Stegostoma tigrinum: one gene and its partner. The protein of the gene in region 2 interacts with the protein of the main gene of each other region in a biochemical or structural test. Links are inferred from orthologs where the notes say so. Each region holds a gene or a part of one and is shown on either strand. Other genes may lie near its edges.

Region 1 (7,767 bases), on a different chromosome or scaffold from region 2:
ATTGCCAAACATTAACAGACCGTGTAGAATTGGTTGGCTTGTACTCGTAATGCCCACATTTCCCATCTCAAAGACATTCTCAATTGCACTGGACAAACTCTGGTTAACAGCTGTTGTTGAAACTATTAGATACTGACAGGCCTGCTGAAGACATCAATTTTCAATTCCCATTTCCATCAGGCTGCTTCTATTCTGACCAGATCCTTTTCTTGGCATGTTACATCACTGACCTAAGACTGAAGCCACATCCTGAAAATCTGACTCCCCCAAGAAAAGCAATATCTGCCTAGACCAGTCATCCTGGATATCTTGGAGTTCCCAGTAGCCTGCTCACTGTCTCCTGCTCCGGCTGACATGAAATACCTCTCGTGATCGTCCCAGTGCCGATCAACCTTCAATAGACTAGCAGGCAACCAACCAACTAGGGTACATTACATTCTCTACTGTACATTAGTGTGTGATATGATAATGCATTATGTACTTAAAAATCACTTGCATCAAAGCCACAGAATTGTATTTCTACTGCCAATGTTTTTTTAATTTTAAGTTGCAGCTACAGCAGTTATACACAAGCATTCTCTTAACTGACTCAAAACATCAATCTACACTTGATCTGTGGCCTCATTAAATCAGTGCCATTGGAAACAATGGGGATATGTGGGGAAAAACAAGCAACAATGTGTGCTTGGTTCCCAACAAATGCCCTAACAGTGGCACTGGCTGCAAATCTCAGAAGTGGCAGAGCCAAGAGCAATTTACAAGCGTTTCTTATAGGCTCTTCGAGGCTCAGCACCTTGTGAGCATGGAGTCTCAAGCATTCGTGTTTCTGGACTGTCAGCGCTGCAATTGCCTGTTACTTGATAAAATTCATTTGGAAGTGTCAAGCAAAACATCTTTTACCAACTTGCATTGTAGTTCCTTAGTTACCTCAAATCTGTCCGAGTGATTATCGTTTCTTTAACCCTACCCACTATTGATGCTAAACTAGCTGACTAGAGCCATCAGGACTGCCCTTAAACTCTCCTGAATAAAAAAGGTGACACTTACTAAACTTCTGGCCTCTCAGCATATCTGAGGCAGGTTAAAGACTTGCACTATTTCCACGTCTACTACCTTTAACAAATCTGAGATACAAACCAAGTGAGTGATGCATTCTTAGCCTAGAAACATTTCCATCCAACTTGCCTATCATTTTTCAGCCTATTTACTGCTACCACTGTATCTGCTCCACTGATATTTTGTCAGCATCAATTCACTTCATAACCATCAATATTAAGTACTTACTGTGTGTGTCCCTGCTCCTCTAAACCATATGTAATGCTCTTTCTCTCTAATAGGTCCCACTTCACCCTTTACTACATGCTTTGAATTTTTTTTAAGCCTGAGGTTTTTACTGTTAAAACATTCCCTCTTTGGCAGTCTCATTTTCCTGAACTCTCCCCTCCAGAGTGTATATGATTCGATTCTCACTTCAAGAATTTACCCAACATGCAACAAACTTCTCATTTCATGATTTTCTCTAGTTACTTCATCATCAAGGGAGGCCTGACATTGATTCCCTTACCATTCACCCATGTTAGATTGCACTAAGCCTGTACCTAAAACATTTCTGCCTTAAAGAGTAAGAATTATTTACTTGTGCCTTAGTACAGCATCTTACAAAGGGTTATTCCTTAATAGTTCCCTTAAAGTTTTTCCTGTAAGTCTCTGGTTCCACTGTACCATGGTCCTCTGCCCGCATTCTAGTTAAACTAGCTGTCTTATAATTTTCTTTTGTTTGTTCCTGCCTCTTCTCCCTCATTAATGTAAGCCTTCTTACAATGAAGATTCTTACCCAAGTGCTCCCCCCAAACAGTACACAAGATTTAGCAATGCCCTCTTCTAGTTGCTCCAGAAACCCAACCAAAAGCTCATTTCAAATTTATCCTCCACACCCTTTACTGTAACATTGAACTAATTGATTTGCAGTGAAATTAAAGCAGCCCATTAGCACTAATCCACAGCTCTTGCACATCCCTATGATTTCCCTGCAGATGTGCATCACTCATCATTTTGAGGCATATAGAATATCATATAGTGTGATCATACCTTGTTGACACTAACCAAATAGACTGTATCCTTGCCTCAAGGGCAGACCCTCTTTCCATGGTTACAATGACTTCTTTAACTCAATGCTCTACTTTTTTTGAACACTCAATTTCCTTGAATATTAAACTCTAAGTCCTCAATTTTTCACCCTCCATTCTGGAGGGAAAAAAATATTATATTGTCACAATGCTGTTTGTGCTTACAATCTATCAACCTTATTTATCACACTTTGCACATTTAAATTCATGTATGTAATTAGCAAAAGAATTGGCAGTTAGGCTAAATATTCATGAAGGCTGGGTTTCCCCCCCCCCCCCCCCCTTCACCGAGAACACCTTCCTTTACAAAGCGAGAAATCAAGAGTTTAACGTTCTGGGTCGGGTGGCCCTCAGAACCGGGGTCACTGGTTCCAGTAACTTGAAGCACAACCAGTCCCTGGGTGGTCCTTGCCCCAGAGCAGCTCCCAAGGTCTCATCATGTCCCTTCATCCTGCAACAGGCCTTCACCCACAATAGGAGTCTCAATGCCTTCCTATTCCTTCTCTCAGCACTGGAATAAAAGTCAACAAAATAAGGCACCCAGGCACGTGTCAGCCCCCAAACACGCAACCTACCTGCCGGAATGTAACCCCGGTTCGGGTCTGACCCCCGCGCCCAGAGGGATCTGATGGGGGGGGGGAAGGCAGTTCCCCTTTCCGCCCGTGTGGCCCGCGGCCCACTCGACCCTCACCATAAACCCCCACCATTACCCAGTTACCGCCTACACCGCCCCCACGTTACCCCGGCCTCTCACCCGCTCTGGTCCCGGCCCCACCGCCACAATCCAGCACCGAGTCAGGACGCGCACTAGGCCACAGGAATTGAGGGCAGAACCAAGCGCCAAATCAATCAAACAGGGAGACACGGAGAAGGAGAGTGGGATAGAGAACAGGAAGGTTAAAGGTCACAGCTCCGTCCATTGACCAATCGGAATGAAGCTATATGAACGAGCTCTTGGAGTGTTGGCCAGTCAGAATAAAGGGTTGTCAACCAATCAGTGCGAGAGGCCATTGACCAATCAGAGTCAGGCAGCGCTGACCAATCAGAGCGAACACATATGGTCCAATCAGAGTGAGGCGGTGTCCCTCAGTTTGCCAGAACATGTACATTGAGATCAGTGATAATGGGAACTGCAGATGCTGGAGAATCCAAGATAATAAAATGTGGAGCTGGATGAACACAGCAGGCCCAGCAGCATCTCAGGAGCACAAAAGCTGATGTTTCGGGCCTAGACCCTTCATCAGAGAGGGGGATGGGGAGAGGGAACTGGAATAAATAGGGAGAGAGGGGGAGGTGGTCTGAAGATGGAGAGTAAAGAAGATAGGTGGGGAGGTAGAGAGGGGATAGGTCAGTCCAGGGAAGATGGACAGGTCAAGGAGGCGGAATGAGGTTAGTAGGTAGGAAATGGAGGTGCGGCTTGGGGTGGGAGGAAGGGATGGGCGAGAGGAAGAACAGGTTAGGGAGGCCGAGACAGGTTGGACTGGTTTTGGGATGCAGTGGGTGGAGGGAATGAGCTGGGCTTGTTTTGGGATGCAGTGGGGGGAGGGGACAGGCTGGGCTGGTTTTGGGATGCAGTGGGGGGAGGGGAGATTTTGAAGCTGGTGAAGTCCACATTGATACCATTGGGCTGCAGGGTTCCCAAGTGGAATATGAGTTGCTGTTCTTGCAACCTTCGGGTGGCATTATTGTGGTACTGCAGGAGGCCCATGATGGACATGTCATCTGAGGAATGGAAGGGAGAGTTATAAAATTGTTCGCGACTGGGAGGTGCTGTTTTTTATTGCGAACCAAGCGGAGGTGTTCTGCAAAGCAGTCCCCAAGCCTCCGCTTGGTTTCCCCAATGTAGAGGAAGCCACACCGGGTACAATGGATGCAGTATACTACACTGGCAGATGTGCAGGTGAACCTCTGCTTAATATGGAAAATCATTTTGCGGCCTGGGATAGGGGTGAGGGAGGAGGTGTGGGGCAAGTGTAGCACTTTCTGTGGTTACAGGGGAAGGTGCCGGGTGTGGTGGGGTTGATGAGGAGTGTGGAGCGGACAAGGGAGTCGCGGAGAGAGTGGTCTCTCCGAAAGGCAGACAAGGGTGGGGATGGAAAAATAGCTTGGATGGTGGGGATGGATTGTAGATGGCGAAAGTGTCGGAGGAGGATGTGTTGTATCCGGAGGTTGGTGGGGTGATATGTGAGAACGAGGGGGATCCTCTGGAGGCGGTTGTGGTGGGGGCAGGGTGTGAGGGATGTGTTGCGGGAAATGTGGGAGACGCGGTCAAGGGCGTTCTCGACCACTGCGGGGGGAAAGTTGCAGTCCTTGAAGAACGTGGACCTCTGGGATGTGCGGGAGTGGAATGCCTCATCCTGGGAGGAGATGAGGCGGAGGAATTGGGAATAGGGAATGGAATTTTTGCAGGAGGGTGGGTGGGAGGAGGTGTGTTCTAGGTAGCCGTGGGAGTCGGTGGGCTTGAATTGGACATCAGTTTCTAGCTGGTTGCCTGAGATGGAGACTGAGAGGTCCAGGAAGGTGAGGGATGTGTTGGAGATGGCCCAGGTGAACTTGAGGTTGGGGTGGAAGGTGTTGGTGAAGTGGATGAACTGTTCGAGCTCCTCTGGGGAGCAAGAGGTGGCACCGATACAGTCATCAATGTAACGGAGGAAGAGGTGGGGTTTGGGGCCTGTGTAGGTGCAGAGGAGGGACTGTTCCACGTAACCTACAAAGAGGCAGGCATAGCTTGGGCCCATGCGGGTGCCCATGGCCACCCCCTTTGTCTGTAGGAAGTGGGAGGAATCAAAAGAGAAGTTGTTGAGGGTGAGGACGAGTTCGGCTAGACGGCTGAGGGTGTCGGTGGAGGGGGATTGGTCGGGCCTGCAGGACAGGAAGAAGCGGCGGGCCTTAAGGCCATCTGCATGAGGAATGCAGGTGTATCGGGACTGGAGGTCCATGATGAAAATGAAGTGTTGGGGGCCAGGGAATTGGAAGTTCTGGAGGAGCTGGAGGGCGTGGGTGGTGTCACGGACATAGGTGGGGAGTTCCTGGATCAAGGGGGAGAAAATGGAGTCCAGATAGGTGGAGATGAGTTAGGTCAGCCAGGGCGGGCGGGTTTTTGGATTTTGGGAAGGAGATAGAAACAGGCCGTGCGGGGTTGGGGAACAATAAGGTTGGAGTCTGTGGGTGGGAGGTGCCCTGAGGTGATGAGGCCATGGATGGTATTGGAGATGGTGGTTTGGTGCTCAGGGGTGGGGTCATGATCAAGGGGCAGTTGGAAGAGGTGTCGGAGAGTTGGCGTTTGGCCTCGGCAATGTAGAGGTCAGTGCGCCATACTACAACTGCGCCTCCCTTGTCTGCAGGTTTGATGGTGACGTTGGGGTTGGAGCGGAGGGAACGGAGGGCTGCCCGTTCTGCGGGGGAGAGGTTGGACTGGGTGAGAGTGGTGGAGAGGTTGAGGCGGTTGATGTCTCAACATCAGTTGGCGATGAAGAGGTCGAGGGAGGGTAGGAGGCCTGGGGTTGGTGTCCAGGAAGAGGACTTGTGTTGGAGGCGGGTGAAGGGGTCAGTGGAGGGAGGGTTAGGTTCCCGGTTAAAGAAGTAAGCGTGGAGGAGAAGGCGGTGGAAAAAATACTCGATGTCCAAACGTGACTGGTATTCGTTGATGTGTGGGTGGAGGGGGACAAAGGTGAGCCCCTTGCTTGGGACTGACCATTCATCCTCAGTCAGTGGGAGGTCTGCGGGGATGGTGAAGATTCGGCAGGGCTCAGTGTGGCTGTCCTTTGAAAGGTCGGTGTGGTCTTGATTTTTTAAAATTTCCTTTATTCTCATGGTGGATTGAATATAAAATGCAGTGAAAAGCATGTACTGTCGCTCTGTGCATGTACTGTTCACATAGTAAAAACACAATAACTTAAAGAGGGTCTAAACTTCCCTTCACCTTTGCTACTGCATGCCGCCACCAGAGTCATGCTGCAGGCTTCCAGCCTACGCCGTGCCACTATGAGTGTCTCTCAGCCCCTCTGACGCCCTAGGACATGGCCCCTCCGTCACTCTGGGGATAGGGCCCCTCCATCAGCCGCCTCAGGCTGCCTTCTCCCATCTGCTACCAGTCACACCTCCAGCTTGTGCTCTCTGCCCACATGATGCTCCATGGCTGCTTCCCCACAAACTGCTATGGAGTTCTTCTCCATGCAGCTCCTGTGCTCGCTGCTGACAGTGTTCTGGGGCATGAGGGCTCACTGCTCTGGACTTGCTGCCAGCTTCAGTGCTGAGGGTAGAGGAGAAAAAAAGAAAGGAAAAAGAACAGGTGGAGCACAGGAGTTCTGACAGCTCTGATGAGCTGAATGGCCTGCATCCACACTGTAGGGATTCTGTTCTCTTCTACATTTGTGAAAAGATTGATATTGGTGACCAGGGAGGGTGATAACTGTCTCATGGTCCCTATGCCCATTTCCCTGCAGAATGCCTGTTCACTTCTGCAAAAGACCATCTGTCAGCTTATTGTGAATGACTATATGCTACCAGTGGCCTTGATGGAAACATCTGTCCGGGATAATGACACCTTTTTTATGGCTGAAGCCTCCCTTTCTGGCTATTTCTTTGATCTCTAGGTCCATCAGGCTCGTTGTAGTTTCCTCCCTTGGACTCTCCAACAAATGTCTTCTTATCCTCAATGATTTTAATCTCCATCTCAACTCACCATGTCTAACTCTAACTTCACTGGCTACTTATCATCACTATCTCTTCTCTATCGGAATACCCTCCCCAGATTAGAAATATAGCCAGCTCTACACCTTGTTATCTCATTTTTCAAAGGTTGTAAGGTTGCCAGCATCCACTACCTCCCTGGGCTGTACTTTCTAGATTCCCACCACCCTCTGAGAGAAAAAGCTTTTTTCTCAAACCCTGTCTGAATCTGCTGCGCCTTATGCTAAAAGTGGGCCTTCTTGTGATTGAAGCCTCAACCAAGGGGAATAGCTGCTCTCTACTCTCCCTGCCCATACCCCTCATAATCTTATGCACATCAATCATCTCCCTCTCAGCCTCCTCTATTTTTGAGAAAACAATCCTGTAACTGACAACCATCTTCTTCACTATTGAGCATCCAGCAGCCTTTGTGTTGTCTGAAAACTTGCTTAACATCCCCCGTTTATGTATATAACAAACAATATGCGTCTCAGACTGATCCTTGTGGCGTATTGCTGGAAGTTGGCATCCAGTCACTTGGACAGCTTTCTACTTCTACTCTTTGTATCCTATTACGAAGCCGGTTTCTGATCCATCTCATCATCTTCATAATCAGTTTCCCCTGTGGGACCTTGTCAAATGCTTTGCTAAAGTCTGTATAAACTACATCAACTGAGCTTCCTTCATCCACACACTTGATCACATTTTTGAAAAATTCTGTGACCTCCTTCTGACAAAGCCATGCTGACTGTTTGTAATTTACCTATGCTTTTCCCAAGTGGATGTTAATTCTCTCCTTAAAAAATTTCTCCAATAGTTTCCCTATCATGACATGATACTCACCAGTCTGTAATTTCCCTGGTTCATCTCAACCAACTTTCTTGAAAAGTGGAACCACATTAACTCTTCTCCAGTTCTCTGGCACTCCCCCTGTGGCCACAGAGGCATTAAAAATTTGTGTCAGAGCCCT
Region 2 (7,266 bases):
TCACGACCGGTCTAGGCCCGAAACGTCAGCTTTTGTGCTCCTGAGATGCTGCTTGGCCTGCTGTGTTCATCCAGCCTCACATTCTATTATCTTGGAATTCTCCAGCATCTGCAGTTCCCATTATCTCTGATACTAAGATTACTATACGTCCTTTAGGGAAGAAAACCTGCTATCCTTTCCCGGTTTGGCCTACATGTGATTCCAGACCCACAACAATAGAGTTGACACTGGATAATGAGGGAAGAGCAATAAAAACAGACCTAGTCAGAGATGCCACCTTCTGTGAATTTTTAAAAAAAATTTCATAAATTTCTTTGCGACATTCCTTGAACCTTCTTCGATGAAATTATTGGCCTTCTGCCACAATGTTGCTTTACATGGCTTGGCATTAAATTTGGTTGTTTAACTTGCCTGTGATTTGCCTTGGGACATTTGATTACATTTAAGGCATTGCATAATTGTAACTCGACGTGGTTAGCTTGTATGTTTCATACCTGAATCTTGGACACACTGAATTCACCTACAACTCACAGGCCAAAATTCTTAAGTATGTCAAACATGAAAACTTGAATTTGATTTACGCAGAGGCCCTAAGATAAAGTCAGGAATTAAGTATTTGATCTACAATAAAATCCAAACAATAAAATGACATTCCATGATTCTATTTACTGTTATCCCAAATTAAAAATAAATGATGACGAAGTTGTTTCATAATGGGCTAAATTTAAAAAAGCTCAGATTTAGGAATGGCTGGGACCAACGTCATTTCTCTTCATGCTGCAATAGTAAGACAAGCTTGTAGGAAATCAGAGCAGGAAGTCCATTCAGCTCCCTAAGCCTGCTCTGCCACTATTTAATAAGATAATTGCTGATCTGATTCTGGCCGGAACTCCTCTTCTCTGGCCTGATCTGCATAACCCTTGTTTCAAATTATGTGTTTAATGGCTGCCACACCCGAATGAAAGCAAATTACAGTAGATGTTGAGGTCACATGACCAAAGGAAGATCAGCTAGTAGGTACAATGCGCAGATGCAAACATCCCCTTTTAGACAGAGAAAGAAAATTGTACGCACTATTTTCAGCAGCTATGGGTCACCCAAAATGATCACTCATGAACAAAACTGAAAATTCTAGTCTATCCCACTTTCATCAGTCTGTATGTGCATGCATTGACTTGTTTTCTCTGAGGTTTTCAGGTCTTTTGATAAGATTTAGTTGAGTAACTGCCAGTTTGTCTGGTATCTGTTCATTCCTAGGGTGATGTTCTTTTCAAACAGTTACATGTCACAGACCAATCCATGCCGAATATAATCCCAAACTGAACTCGTCTCACCTGCCTGCTCCTGGCCCATATCTATTCATATATTTTTCCAAATATCTTTTAAACATTGTAATTGTACCTACACTTCATCAGGAGATTTATTCCACATGCAAACAACCCTCTGCGTAAAAAACTTAACCCTCGTCTTTTTTTAAATCTCTCGCCTCTCACCTTAAAAATGTGGTGCCAAGTCTTGAAAACCCTCCACTATGGAAAAGACAATGAGCATTAACTCTATCTACCCCTCATTATTTTATAAACCTCTATATTGTTCTTTCAACTATGACTTCCAAAGCATTTTGAACTGTTGTTACTAGTCTTTTGATTTGAGTTAAGCTGCTTCTTTTCTGTGAATGAATACCAATGCAAATCCTGGGCAGTGAGTTTGCACAGATGTTTGCACTCTGATGACAAATCAGGCAAGAATTTTGCTAAACAGTTCATCAAAAATCTGATGAATCATTGTACTGTATTTACACCTTTGCAACAACTTTCACCTTGCCAAGATCCAAGCAAAGTCGTTTACCATCAGTATATGCCCTTGATCCAGCCATCTTCAATTTCTTTTGTTTTCTTGCTCTATTCTCTTAACATATATTTTCTTCCGTTGTGTGATTACTGCCTCTTCTGCTTTGACTTGCTTACAATTAACTGCCATTACCTCAAAGAACAATATCTTAGCCTTCTTATCATTCTATCCTTTTCTTTTAGGACTTCTGAGTCAGTGGGGCTGCAAGTTGATCTGTCTTGTATTTCTTTGAGGACAGCTGAAACTCTCCTTGGAAGATGTTGAGTTGGTCATACACTTTCACCTACTTCAAAATGATATTTACTGGGAGATGTCCAAGAACTGTAAGATCATATCTTTAATTATCTAGGATCTGTTCAACAGTCAGCAGCTCAGTGGCATAGAAAACATTTCAGATCTCTAAAATAACAAAGTGTGAAGCTGGATGAACACAGCATGCCAAGCAGCATCTCAGGAGCACAAAGGCTGACGTTTTGGGCCTCGACCCTTCATCAGAGAGGGGGATGAGGAGAGGGTTCTGAAATAAATAGGGAGAGAGGGGGAGGCGGACACAGGCTGGGCTGGTTTTGGGATGCAGTGGGGGAGGGGACGAGCTGGGCTGGTTTTGGGATACAGTATATTCCGCTTGGGAACCCTGCAGCCCAATGGTATCAATGTGGACTTCACAATCTCCACTTCCCCACTGCATCCCAAAACCAGCCCAGCCTGTGTCCGCCTCCCTAACCTGTTCTTCCTCTCACCTATCCACTCCACCCACCCCAAGCCGCACCTCCATTTCCTGCCTACTAACATCATCCCGCCTCCTTGACTTGTCTGTCCTCCCTGAACTGATCCATCCCCTCCCTGCCTCCCCACCTATACTCTCCTCTCTACCTATCATATTTTCTCTCCATCTTCAGTCCGCCTCCCCTCTTTCCCTATTTATTTCAGAACCCTCTCCCCATCCCCCTCTCTAATGAAGGGTCTAGGCCTGAAACGTTAGTTTTTGTGCTCCTGAGATGCTGCTTGGCCTGCTGTGTTCATCCAGCTTCACACTTTGTTATCTTGGATTCTCCAGCATCTGCAGTCCCCATTATCTCAGATCTCACCTAAGATGTGTTGGGTTACAAATTGAAGCTTTGGATTTTCTTAAGCTGAGATAGGTTGATTTTTCCTGAACATTTGGTATCTGGAACTCCAGACATTCATTGGGCTGTGAGGTTCATTTGCCATCGTGGGATGGATATTGTTGCAAATTATAGCCATAACTATACCTTTAAGGACTTTATTTTGGGTTACCACTTGAAGCACACAGATCTGCGAGTTCATGACATTGCATAAGGCACCAGTGTCTGTCTGACGCTTCACGTTCACTTGATGCTGCCCTTCTGCAATCATCATCCTAACAGTCACAGGTCATTTGTCACCTTTAGTCCTGATGATGCCAATCTGCTGCATGGTTGAAAGTGACTTGCCCTCTCCAGCAGTCATTTTTATAGGATTATTTTGTCTAATTCTAGCTGAACACTTTCGTGCAAAGTGATTCAGTATTTTGCACTGCTTTTCCCACACTGGACATGCTTTCTCTTCCTTTGTGTCATGTCTTCTTCACAATTTACAGCCTGACCTCTGGCTTTTTGCTTTCTGCTGACTCTTCTGCAGGTATTTTTGTTTTGTTCCACTATGTTGTTTTTGATCAGGCTGAAATGTGTCTATAATAATCTAAATCTTAATAATCTAAAACTTCACCTGTTCTTCCATTGTGTACCCTAGCGCACAGTTGACAATCTCAGAGCTTCTGCACGTTGATAAGCTTTCTTGAGAGTAAGTTTCTCTTCTCAGCAGACTGTCACAATGGGATCCTATCTCTGTGAGATCATACTTCAGTTGGCCAGACTCATGAGATGTGTCAATCCCACCAAATACTTATAAGAGAAATTGAGACACGCTTGCCTACTAAAATATAGCTAGACAGCTATCACTTAAATCTTTACAGTGGATCTCCAATCCAAACCACTGTATTTATTTTGAATTATTCCAAAAATGACTTTATTTTGGAATTGTTAGAACAGATCAAGGCATTATCCAAAAAAACCCTGATAATTAATTATGTTCTTAGGAAGGCCACGGGACACAAACGTTAACTGTAAATTTTTTTCTTCACAAATGCTGCCAGACCTGCTGAGCTTTACCAACAACTTATGTTTTTGTCCCTGATTTACAGCGTCCGCAGTTTTTTTCGATTTTCCTAATTAGTCATGCTTTCTTAAAACTAAGAGTCGGGTGCAATTTCGTCTATCGGAAATTTCAGCGGAATCTCCATGGAGGGGAAAATATCACTAATGAGTAATTTGCTCAGCGTTAGGCTACGCTACTCGGGGGTCGTATTTGGTGGGTGCACTGCTGTCGTGGTTGAGCGGTTGGTGCAACCGGGAAAGGAGTCCGGGGCAGTCCGATCGAGGGCAAAGGTAGATGCTCGGTGATCGGGCTCTTGGGAAACATGTCGGCGGAAGAGAAGAAGCCCGGCCCGCGGCAGCCGCAGGCAATCAATCCTGTCAAGAATTTCTTCGCCGGAGGTTTTGGCGGGGTGTGCCTGGTGTTTGCTGGGCACCCGCTGGACACGATCAAGGTGAGGGGAATGGTTGGCCCAAGCTATCAACGTGCAGAAGCCCTGAGATTGTCAACTGTGCGCTAGGGTACACAATGGAAGAACAGGTGAAGCTTTAGATTATTAAGATTTAGATTATTACAGACACATTTCAGCCTGATCAAAAACAACATAGTGGAACAAAACCAAAATACCTGCAGAAGAGTCAGCAGAAAGCAAAAAGCCAGAGGTCAGGCTGTAAATTGTGAAGAAGACATGGCACAAAAGAGGAGGAAGCATGTCCAGTGTTAATGGGAACTGCAGATGCTGGAGAATTCCAAGATAATAAAATGTGAGGCTGGATGAACACAGCAGGCCCAGCAGCATCTCAGGAGCACAAAAGCTGATGTTTCGGGCCTGGACCCTTCTTCAGAGAGGGGGATGGGGTGAGGGTTCTGGAATAAATGGGGAGAGAGGGGGAGGCGGACCAAAGATGGAGAGAAAAGAAGGTAGGTGGAGAGGAGAGTATAGGTGGGGAGGTAGGGAGGGGGAGGTCAGCCCAGGGAAGACGGACAGGTCAAGGAGGTGGAATGAGGTTAGTAGGTAGGAGATGGAGGTGCGGCTTGGGGTGGGAGGAAGGGATGGGTGAGAGGAAGAACCGGTTAGGGAGGCAGAGACAGGTTGGACTGGTTTTGGGATGCAGTGGATGGAGGGGAAGAGCTGGGCTGGTTGTGTGGTGCAGTGGGGGGAAGGGACGAACTGGGCTGGTTTTGGGATGCGGTGGGGGAAGGAGAGATTTTGAAGCTGGTGAAGTCCACATTGGTACCATTGGGCTGCAGGGTTCCCAAGCGGAATATGAGTTGCTGTTCCTGCAACCTTCGGGTGGCATCATCGTAGCACTGCAGGAGACCCATGATGGACATGTCATCTAAAGAATGGGAGGGGGAGTGGAAATGGTTTGCGACTGGGAGGTGCAGTTGTTTATTGCGAATCGAGCGGAGGTGTTCTGCAAAGCGGTCCCCAAGCCTCCACTTGGTTTCCCCAATGTAGAGGAAGCCACACCGGGTACAGTGGATGCAGTATACCACATTGGCAGATGTGCAGGTGAACCTGTGCTTAATGTGGAATGTCATCTTGTGGCCTGGGATAGGGGTGAGGGAGGAGGCGTGGGGGCAAGTGTAGCATTTCCTGCGATTGCAGGGGAAGGTGCCGGGTGTGGTGGGGTTGGAGGGCAATGTGGAGCGAACAAGGGAGTCATGGAGAGAGTGGTCTCTCCGGAAAGCAGACAAGGGTGGGGATGGAAAAATGTCTTGGGTGGTGGGGTTGGATTGTAGATGGTGGAAGTGTCGGAGGATGATGCGTTGTATCCGGAGGTTGGTAGGGTGGTGTGTGAGAACGAGAGGGATCCTCTTTGGGCAGTTGTGGTGGGGGCGGGGTGTGAGGGATGTGTTGTGGGAAATGCGGGAGACGTGGTCAAGGGCGTTCTCGACCACTGGGGGGAAAGTTGCGGTTCTTGAAGAACTTGGACATCTGGGATGTGCGGGAGTGGAATGCCTCATCGTGGGAGCAGATGAGGCGGAGGAATTGGGAATAGGGGATGGAATTTTTGCAGGAGGGTGGGTGGGAGGAGGTGTATTCTAGGTAGCTGTGGGAGTCGGTGGGCTTGAAATGGACATCAGTAACAAGCTGGTTGCCTGAGATGGAGACTGAGAGGTCCAGGAAGGTGAGGGATGTGCTGGAGATGGCCCAGGTGAACTGAAGGTTGGGGTGGAAGGTGTTGGTGAAGTGGATGAACTGTTCGAGCTCCTCTGGGGAGCAAGAGGCAGCGCCGATACAGTCATCAATGTAACGGAGGAAGAGGTGGGGTTTGTGAAGCATGTCCAGTATGGGAAAAGCAGTGCAAAATACTGAATCACTTTGCACGCAAGTGTTCAGCTAGAATTAAACAAAACAATCCTATAAAAATGACTGTTGGAGAGGACAAATAACTTTTGACCATACAGCACATTGGCACCATCAGGACTAAAGGTGACAAATGGAGCACAGGATTAGCTCCAATGCCTGGCCCTGGGCTGCACCCACTTGCCTTGCAACAGGTGATCATGCCCCAAGGCAGAGCAACCTGTGTGAACTTAAATAACTAATGCACCACCAAAATCATTGCAGATAATTGTGTTTGCATTTGTATGAACAGGTCCACAGATCCCTGAACATGGCAACAGATGGATAAGGTAGTCAAAAACCTTGCCTTCATTGAATGTAAAAGTTGGCAAGTTGTGTTACAGCTGTACAAAACTGTAGTTAGGTCATTTTCAGGTATTGCGTGCAGTTTTGAGAGGGTGCAGGGAAGTTTACCAGGATGTTGCCTTGTCTGGAGGGTTTTATTTGGGTTCGATAAACTCAGATTGTTTTCACTGGAATGACAGAGGCTGAGGGTGACCAGATAGAGGGCTGCAAAATTATCAGAGGTGTGAGTAGGGTGGATACTCAGAAGCTTTTTCCAAGGGTAGACAGGCCAATGACAGGAGGGCATAGATTCAGGGTGAGGGGGGGAACTTTAGGGGAGAAGTGTAGGGAAAATTTTTCATACAGGGTGGTAGGTGTCTGTAACTCTGTGCCAGTGGAAGCAGGCACGTTAGCAATGGTTTAAGGCATATGTGATGAACGTATGAATGGGAGTCAAACAGGGATATAAACTAGGGATGGGCAAAAAGTAGCGGATCAAAATAAGGATTAGCAATTGTAACAGGCTTGGTGAGTCAAAGAGCCTGTTTCTGTGCTGTATTGAATGTGTTGTATGATGTTCTTCCATTATATAATTTTTTATTTAATTTTTCTTGCACAAAATG

What was found.
Region 1: the proteins of prkar2aa (region 2) and akap11 form a complex in vitro, tested with the Homo sapiens proteins (2 studies listed by BioGRID, with this or other methods). The link is inferred for Stegostoma tigrinum from reciprocal best matches to the Homo sapiens genes PRKAR2A and AKAP11.

Annotation. Positions count from the first base shown.
Region 1 is NC_081365.1:80,434,479-80,442,245, reverse strand, and holds the start of akap11 (A-kinase anchor protein 11), read right to left. Parts: upstream 3,001-7,767; 5' UTR 2,881-3,000; intron 1-2,880. UniProt on the Homo sapiens protein: Binds to type II regulatory subunits of protein kinase A and anchors/targets them.
Region 2 is NC_081364.1:9,588,906-9,596,171, reverse strand, and holds the start of prkar2aa (protein kinase, cAMP-dependent, regulatory, type II, alpha A), read left to right. Parts: upstream 1-4,259; 5' UTR 4,260-4,330; coding exon 4,331-4,459; intron 4,460-7,266. UniProt on the Homo sapiens protein: Regulatory subunit of the cAMP-dependent protein kinases involved in cAMP signaling in cells. Type II regulatory chains mediate membrane association by binding to anchoring proteins, including the MAP2 kinase.